Linked DNA regions of Canis lupus familiaris. The protein of the gene in region 1 purifies or fractionates together with the protein of each later gene. This does not show direct contact. Links are inferred from orthologs where the notes say so. Each region holds a gene or a part of one and is shown in the gene's direction. Other genes may lie near its edges.

Region 1 (3,802 bases):
GTTCCTGACACACTTAAAAGCAATCGGAGGAGAAGCTCCGAGCAGCCTGACTTTGGAACGTCTCCTGCGGACGCATCTCCGCTCCTATGAGGAAGTTTCTTCGTGTCGTGTTAGACTTCGGTCATTTGTCTGCCGGAAGCCTGACACAGCGCGTTTGTCCTTCCTGATCACGTTCTCAGGAGACAAATGACAGATTAAACAAGCAGTTATAGCGGAGTTTCCAGTAAAATGATCCGAAGTCGAGCGCTACGGGAGCGCAGATAGAAAAACGCGTGTTACCCAGACCTCTTGGGGTGGTGGCATGGAGGTTAATGGGAGAAGATTTCTGGAACCTTATGGATAAGAGGAGTTAGCAGGAAAAGCAGGGAGGGGAGAAAAATGTTCGGCGCCCTGGAGCGTGAGCTGGGGAGTAAAGGCAGGAGGGTAACCAGGGACTATTACGGTCCCGGTAGGGTCTGTGGGCATTATCTTAGGAACGGGGGAAGCAGAGGTTAGAAGGGGCTGCGGTGGAGGCAGGGTGGAGGCAGGGAGGCCAGGAGGCCGCTGAAGGGTTCTGGGGACTGTTCTCATGGGTTCCGCTTGGGCAGGGGCTGTGGTGTCTTATTTGAAAGTTCAAGAGGTAAATGGGTAAAAGTTGGGGGCTTCCTGGGTTGAAGGGAGAGTAAAGAGGGAAAAGGAAAGTATTCGCCCGTTTCTTTGGCAGGAGGCATTAGGTGGGATGCCCCTGAGCTGAGGAGCAGCGGCGGGGCGGGCGCGGGGCCTGGGGCTGCGGAAGGGCCGTCTCGGTTGGGCTGTTGGGGTCGGAGGCGCCCCTGCCCCGTGGGGTGGAAGCGCCTGGTGAAGCTGAGCGCGGGGCTGGGCTGCGGGGGACAGGATGTGTCGGTTGAGCCGGTGGGTGCTGCTGGGCCCGGGGAGGCGCCTCCCGGGACCTTCTGTGGGGCGGCCGAGAGCCAGGGGTTCCAGACCAGCAGGGGACGTGCCCCGAGGGCAGGAGGCGGCCGAGGGCGGGGCACAGGTGGGGGGGCCTTTCTCCGTTAAAGACCTAGGATCGGGCAGCCCGGGGCCCAGCGGTTTGGTGCTGCCTCCGGCCCAGGGCGTGACCCCGGGGTCCCGGGATCGAGTCCGCCTGTGGCTCCCTGCGTGGAGCCTGCTCCTCCCTCTGCCTGGGTCTCCGCCTCTCTGTGTGTTTGTCATGAATAAATGAATGAAATCTATAAAAATAAAATAAAGACCTAGGATTTACCCCTGAGAGACCCAGGCGGGGAGGCGGCGGGCCGGGCCGGGCTGCGTGTCCTGTGCCCCGTGTCCCGCGGCGGCCACACGCCGGCACCCGGGCCTCGGGTCTAAGCCCTCGTGGGGCTTCCCTGACCGAGAGCAGATCCCGGCCCCGCGGCCCCACAGCTCCTGTCCCGGGCGCCCGCCCTCGCGGCCCTGGGGCTCCTCCTGCTCCCGCCGCGCCCAGGTGAGCGTGACCCCAAGGGCCCGGGAGCCCACAGGCCCCGGGGCGCCCTGGACCCTGCCCCAAAGGAAGCGGGTCGGGCCACGCGGGGCCGCCGCAGCCACCTCCGGGCCCTCCTCCCGCCTGAAGCTCGGGGACGGGGCGCGGGGGGCACGGGGGGCGCGGGGCGCTCTGCACGCGCAGCTGGGGGCGGCCAAGGGGACGCTAGAAAATTCGTCGGCGCTGGAGTTGTGCCCGCCCAGAGCAGCCACAGGACTGAAGTGGTGACTAGATTGGGTTCTAAGAAGTCGTGTTGGTGAGTGTGTGTTTATGGGCTCGTGCGTGTGCGTGTGCAGGTGCAGGTGCAGGTGCAGGTGCGGGGCCGCAGCGCCGTCCTCACTTACATGCTGGCTGCGTGAGGTGCTGCACGTGCTCTTAGCGAGTGGCTTTCTGCTGTGGCCCTTAACCACCTTCGCCTGGCCCAGGCTGCATGAGGCCCCCCGCGTGAATCCACAGAAAGACGTTTTCAGCTGTTTTGGGAAAGTTGATTTGCTTCCTTTGTGTTGTGCCCACAGTTACTAACACGCCCCAATATCCTGCAGCGCACGGACGTCAGCCCCTTCCAGGCAATGGACCGAATGATGGTGAATATGCGAAACAGCATGCACGAGTTACAGAGGGACCTCGTAAGTACTGAGAAATTGATGAGGACCTTGTTCCGGTGTCGGCACCCCCATACGATAGCGGCTTTCAACTTCTGAAAGTCATGGTCCACGGCGGTTGAAACGTAGATCTTACAGTACGACCCAGTACGCGACACTCGTGTACTGGACGGGTAAACCTGAAACCCAAGTTTTGTGAGAAAATGACCACGCTATTTACGGTGTGTGCTTATATTTTCTATTTCAGTTCATATTTTAAAAATCCTGGTCACAACCCACCAAACTGATTTCACAACCTACAAGTCTGAAAAATCACAGTAATTAACTTTCAAAATTAAGAAAAAAATACCTCAAACATTTATACTGCGTGGAAGGTCACTATTATATAAATGAACGTTTTATATGAATCTAGACTTTTTAATTATTTATAACTTATCTACTTAAAAGGATTTATAGGGATCCCTGGGTGGCTCAGCGGTTTGGCGCCTGCCTTTGGCCCAGGGCGCAATCCCGTGTCGGGCTCCCGGCATGGAGCCTGCTTCTCCCTCCTCCTGTGTCTCTGCACCTCTCTGTCTCTCTCTATCATTCATAAATAAATAAATAAATAAATAAATAAATCTTTAAAAAATTTTAAAAAGGGATTTATAACAGCTAAGAAATTAACTGTTAGTGTTTTTTTGTTTTGTTTTGTTTTTGTTTTTGTTTTTTTTTAAACATGAAAACAGACATTTCAGGAATGATGTTTGGGCATGGGATTAGATCCATACAGTCCAAGTGGTTATAAGCCAGTGTTAATACTCTTATTCTACTCATGGTATTAACATCAAAAAAATAACTTGATTTAATATGAAGAAGACTCATACTATTGTAGTCATCTAGTTTAGAATTTAAGGATCATTTTAGAATGCCCAAATGTAGGGCATTATCAGTGATTTTCGTAATCTAGCTCAATCTGGCACCCACAGGAGGTATAGAACTTGCTGGCATATGGCTCGTTGGCGGGTGTTGGCAAACTCGCGCCCCGTGTCAACCACTGACTCTAAAAGCATCACAGGCTTCAGGGCGCAGCATCTAAAGTTAAACCTAAGCCGCAGTCTTTGATCACGAAGACTTAGATCTCTGAGTCACTTCTTGTTGTTTTCCTCACAAGAAGGGTGAGGATTGGTACAAGTGAGGACCTGCCTGGGTGCCACTGGCTATACCACACGACAGTATGGAGACCCTAGAAGAACGTTAGTTACTATAGTTACTTACTTGACTCCTCTGACGTCAGTTCTGCATATTTGACTAAACTCTCTGGACTTACGATTTATATTTGCCCCCAGGGTCACCTTTCACTGGATCCAAATGGACATTCGTTTAGTTCTTCCTCAGTCATGACTTACTCCAAAGTAGGAGATGAACCACCGAAGGTTTTCCAGGCCTCAACTCAAACCCGTAGGGCTCCAGGCGGAGTGAGTAGTTTCTGAGCATTTCTTGGAGCTTATCGACTTGTGGGATGATGGATCGCCCGTATCAGATTTTAATCATTAAAGCTTGACCTGGTACCCCGGGGGTAGGGATGAGGGAGGAAGACACGTATCACCGCAACAAGTGATACTATGAAAAACGATAATGCTAATGACTGTATTTACTTACTTAAAGCCATTTCTTTCTCCCCTCACCCCGACCTCCGATGCCTTTTATTCATGTGAATGTCTGT
Region 2 (4,258 bases), on another chromosome or scaffold:
GAGAGCAGCAGAGGCTCTGCAGGTGGGGGTGGGGGTCAGTTCCAGGAGGGGGGCAGCTGAGGCTCTGCAGGTGGGGGTGGGGATCAGTTCCTGGAGGGGGGCAGCTGAGGCTCTGCAGGTGGGGATGGGGGTCAGTTCCAGGAGGGGGGCAGGGGAGGGTCTGCAGGTGGGGATGGGGGTCAGTTCCAGGAGTGGGGCAGCTAGGGCTCTGCAGGTGGGGATGTGGGTCAGTTCCAGGAGGGGGCAGCTGAGGCTCTGCAGGTGGGGGTGGGGGTGGGGGTCAGTTCCAGGAGGAGAGCAGCAGAGGCTCTGCAGGTGGGGGTGGGGGTCAGTTCCAGGAGGAGAGCAGCTGAGGCTCTGCAGGTGGGGGTGGGGATCAGTTCCAGGAGGAGAGCAGCTGAGGCTCTGCAGGTGGGGATGGGGGTCAGTTCCAGGAGGGGGGCTGCTGAGGCTCTGCAGGTGGGGGTGGGGGTCAGTTCCAGGAGGGGGGCAGGGGAGGGTCTGCAGGTGGGGGTGGGGGTCAGTTCCAGGAGGGGGGGGAGGGGAGGCTCTGCAGGTGGGGGTGGGGGTCAGTTCCAGGAGGGGGGCAGCTGAGGCTCTGCAGGTGGGGGTGGGGGTCAGTTCCAGGAGGGGGGCAGGGGAGGGTCTGCAGGTGGGGATGGGGGTCAGTTCCAGGAGGGGGGCAGGGGAGGGTCTGCAGGTGGGGATGGGGGTCAGTTCCAGGAGGGGGGCAGCTGAGGCTCTGCAGGTGGGGGTGGGGGTCAGTTCCAGGAGGGGGGCAGGGGAGGCTCTGCGGTCCCTGGAGCCGCGGTCACCTTGTTTTCCTGCTACTAGAGGGGACACGACAAAGAGCACTGTCGCGGGGGGCGGCGGGCGCGGGCCCGGCCTCCTGACCGGCCGCCCAGGCTGAGTGTGTGTGACGGCCGCCGCTCGGTGGGGTGGGCGCGGGACAGCACCCCCGGGGGCGCCGGGACGCCGCGGCTGGCCCTTCCCTTCCACCCCCGCCCAAGCCGGGCCTCGACGAACCTTCGGGAACGCGGGCGGGGCGGGGCGCATGCGCGGCGTCAGGGCCGGGCGGAAGTGTACGTCGCCGTGCCGCCGCCGCGTGACGCACTTCCTGTTTGTTGTCGGAGAAAGGAGAGAAAGGAAAGCGCGAGGAGCCGCCGCCGCCGCCGCTGCCAGCGCCGCTGTGCCGGAGCCGAGGGGACCCGGGCCGCCGCCCCGCCGCGCCTCCTGCCCGCCGCCGGCTCCCTGTCCTGGGTGAGCGTCGCCCTCGGGCGGGGGGCGGGCCTGGGACCGGTGTGGGGCCGCGCCGGGGCGGGGGGCTCGGGCCCGGGGTCGGGGATCTGGGGCCTGCCGTGGGGCCGGCCTTCCGAGGTGAGCGTCGGGCTGGGGTGTCTGCGGGCTGCCGGGCCGGGGCCGGGGGCGCGGGCGCGGCGGGTGGGGGTGGCGGGGCCCGGGCCGGCGGTGAGGCCGGGGCGGCGGGGGCGGGCGGCGGGCGTGGGCGTCGGGCTGGGTGCACGGGGGCCCGGCCCGGGGCGGGGCCGGGGTCAGGAGTCGCGGCCCGGGGCGGGGGCGGGCCCCGGGGTCGGGGCGGCCTTCGCCCTTGGTTCGCCCCGCGCCGGCGGTTGGGCCGGGGCTCGGGCGGGGGGCGGGCTGGGCGGGGGCCCCGCCGCGGGAAGGCAGGTTTTTACTCTTCATAAAGCCCCACGTGGATGACCCCAAAGCCAGAGACGAGGTAGGTCTGCAGAGGGTGGCAGTCTGGGGGAGGACGCCCCGAACACGGAGACCAGGAAGCGGCTCCGGGAGACGCGAAGCCGCGTTCCCGGAACTTCCCACTAATTGTTTAAAAGTTTTCGGATGAGCAAAACGCCCGGATCTCACCCAAACAGCCGGTTTGGTCTGTTGCTTCAGAGTGTGTCATGATTTATAGGAGTGAGGTTTACGTCAGCCTGTGCCCAAGGAAGGGGACAATTGAGGCACGGAGGGTAGGTGGCCTACCGTGTGGTCCCGGAAGGTCTTCGAGCGAGCCCGGGGTTGGCAGGGGGGCGGGGGGGGGGGGGGAGGTTCGGCTCTGGCCGGGACTAGTCGGCTGCCAGCGAGAGGAGGGGTTAGCAAGCCCGTGGAACTTGTTGCTGCTTTTCTGCTGTAATCGTGTCGAATAATGATGCGGGTCCAAATGTTTCCGCACTGTGCTTCCCTCCCGCGTCTCCCAGATACCCCAACCCCCGGTTCCCTGGGAAGTTCATAATGTGCACTTTTAACTACTTTGGGGTTAGTACTTGCGTGTTTGTGTAACAAAAGGATGTGTGGTTTTTATGCATAGTAGCCGGTAAGTGGTGGAATGTTCTGGATAAGGCGCATGGGAGTTGGGGAAGTACATTGGCTTGGTGGGGTGGGCTGAGCCTAAGCCTCAACTTGTTGCTTAGGGTTTGGGACTTAAGGAGCAGTTAGGGGATTTCACAGGAGTTCAGCACCCACTTAAAAAATCTGTGTTTTAAATTTGTTTCCTTGATTTGAGATTGGTGTATTTGAGAGGTTTTTCTGGCTGCGGGACAGACTTATCCGGAGGGCTGGGTGGAGAGCGGTGTTTAATATTCTGAAGACTAAATTATGGACGAGGAATGATAGTACACCTGCAATTAAGTGGCACACAATAGCTTTTGTCTTTCAGCAAGCCCATTATTTTTCGTAGGTGTAAATATTAAGAGTAGAACCATTTTCCTCTGTTTTCACTTTGTTTTTGGACATCTTTATTATTTATTTTAAAGGATGTATATTTTTTAAGATCTTATTTATTTATTCATGAGAGAGAGAGGCATAGGGAGAAGCAGGCTCCATGCAGGGAACCTGATGCGCGACTCGGTCCCAGGACTCCAGGATCACACCCTGGGCCGAAGGCAGACGCTAAACCACTGAGCCACCCAGGGCTCCCCTGTTTTGGACACTTTTAAAACGATTCTACTCCCTACCATTAGTAGTTTCTGACTCGCAAACTCAAAAACCAGGTTGGGGCAGGGGATGGTGTTTGCATATTTTTTAGTTTGTTTTATTTAAGAGGGCACTTTAAAATTCAGTAAGTTTATAATTTTATTTACTTAACTTATTTTAAAGGCTTGCTTTATTTATTGGAGAGAGTGAGCTCAGCAAGGGCAGAGGGAGAAGCAGAGTAGGGAGCCTGCCCTGGGGCTCCATCCCAGATCTCAGGACCCTGGGATCTTGACCAGAGCCATCCAGCCGCCCTTAGTGAGTTATTTTAAATTCACTTTTCAGGGTTGCAGTGTACTACTGTTACCTTGGTGATGTTCTGTTACCTTCCACAGTTGCTGGGACTGCCCATTACAGGTCATCTGCTGTGTTAGTTAAGGGTTGAGGGTGATTGCATGCCTTTTCTGTTGCAGGATGGTAAGGATTAAGTGAATGGAATCAGCCTCTATTTGTAAATTAGAAAGGCTTTTTTTCTTGGAAATCTAAAATTTAGAGTGGGGGTGGTCTGAGAACTCTGGTTTGCTTTAAATTTGTTCAGAACACCACCTAGTGGTGAAATAGGCGTAATTGCAGGTTTATTAGGGAATTTAGGATGGGGACAGTGGCCAACAGGAATTAACAAATGCTGTCGTTTCTCTTTGATAAATAAGATTTGTGAGAACTTGAAATTCAGGAGGTAAATGAGAAGAACAGCAAGGTTGGTGAAGATAAGAATAGTGGTAGAAATTATAATGTAGGAATGGAAGGACGATTGACTAATTGTAATCTCTACCTTGACCTCGGCGCTTGAACTCACAACTTTAAGATCAGGAGTCACATGTTCTACCAATTGAATTAGCCAGGTGCCCTGGAAAGACTATTTTATTTTAATTTTTAAAAGATTTTATTTATTTATTCATGGCAGACACAGAGAGAGAGAGAGAGAGAGAGAGAGGCAGAGACACAGGCAGAGGGAGAAACAGGCTCCATGCAGGGAGCCCGACGTGGTACTCAATCCCAGGTCTCCAGGATCACACCCCAGGCTGAAGGCGGCGCTAAACTGCTGGGCCACAGGGGCTGCCCTGGAAAGACTATTTTAAAGCCTAAATGGAGAAAATGACTTATGGATAACTCAGTTTGGAGAAAAAATTTTTTTGACCATTTAGTTTTTTAAAGATTTTATTTATTTATTCATGAGAGACACACAGAGAGAGGCAGAGACAGGCAGAGGGAGAAGCAGGCTCCCTGCAGGGAGCCTGATGTAGGACTCCTGGGACTCCAGGACTAGGAC

Evidence for each region.
Region 2: the proteins of MLF1 (region 1) and DNAJB6 purify together in Homo sapiens (affinity purification with mass spectrometry; 3 studies listed by BioGRID and IntAct, counting the BioPlex papers as one, with this or other methods). This does not show direct contact. The link is inferred for Canis lupus familiaris from reciprocal best matches to the Homo sapiens genes MLF1 and DNAJB6.

What each region holds. Positions count from the first base shown.
Region 1 is NC_049244.1:52,483,140-52,486,941, forward strand, and holds part of MLF1 (myeloid leukemia factor 1), read left to right. Parts: intron 1-2,013; coding exon 2,014-2,124; intron 2,125-3,425; coding exon 3,426-3,554; intron 3,555-3,802. UniProt on the Homo sapiens protein: Involved in lineage commitment of primary hemopoietic progenitors by restricting erythroid formation and enhancing myeloid formation.
Region 2 is NC_049237.1:20,508,723-20,512,980, forward strand, and holds the start of DNAJB6 (dnaJ homolog subfamily B member 6), read left to right. Parts: upstream 1-1,156; 5' UTR 1,157-1,260; intron 1,261-1,688; exon of another isoform or gene 1,689-1,738; intron 1,739-4,258. UniProt on the Homo sapiens protein: Has a stimulatory effect on the ATPase activity of HSP70 in a dose-dependent and time-dependent manner and hence acts as a co-chaperone of HSP70. Plays an indispensable role in the organization of KRT8/KRT18 filaments.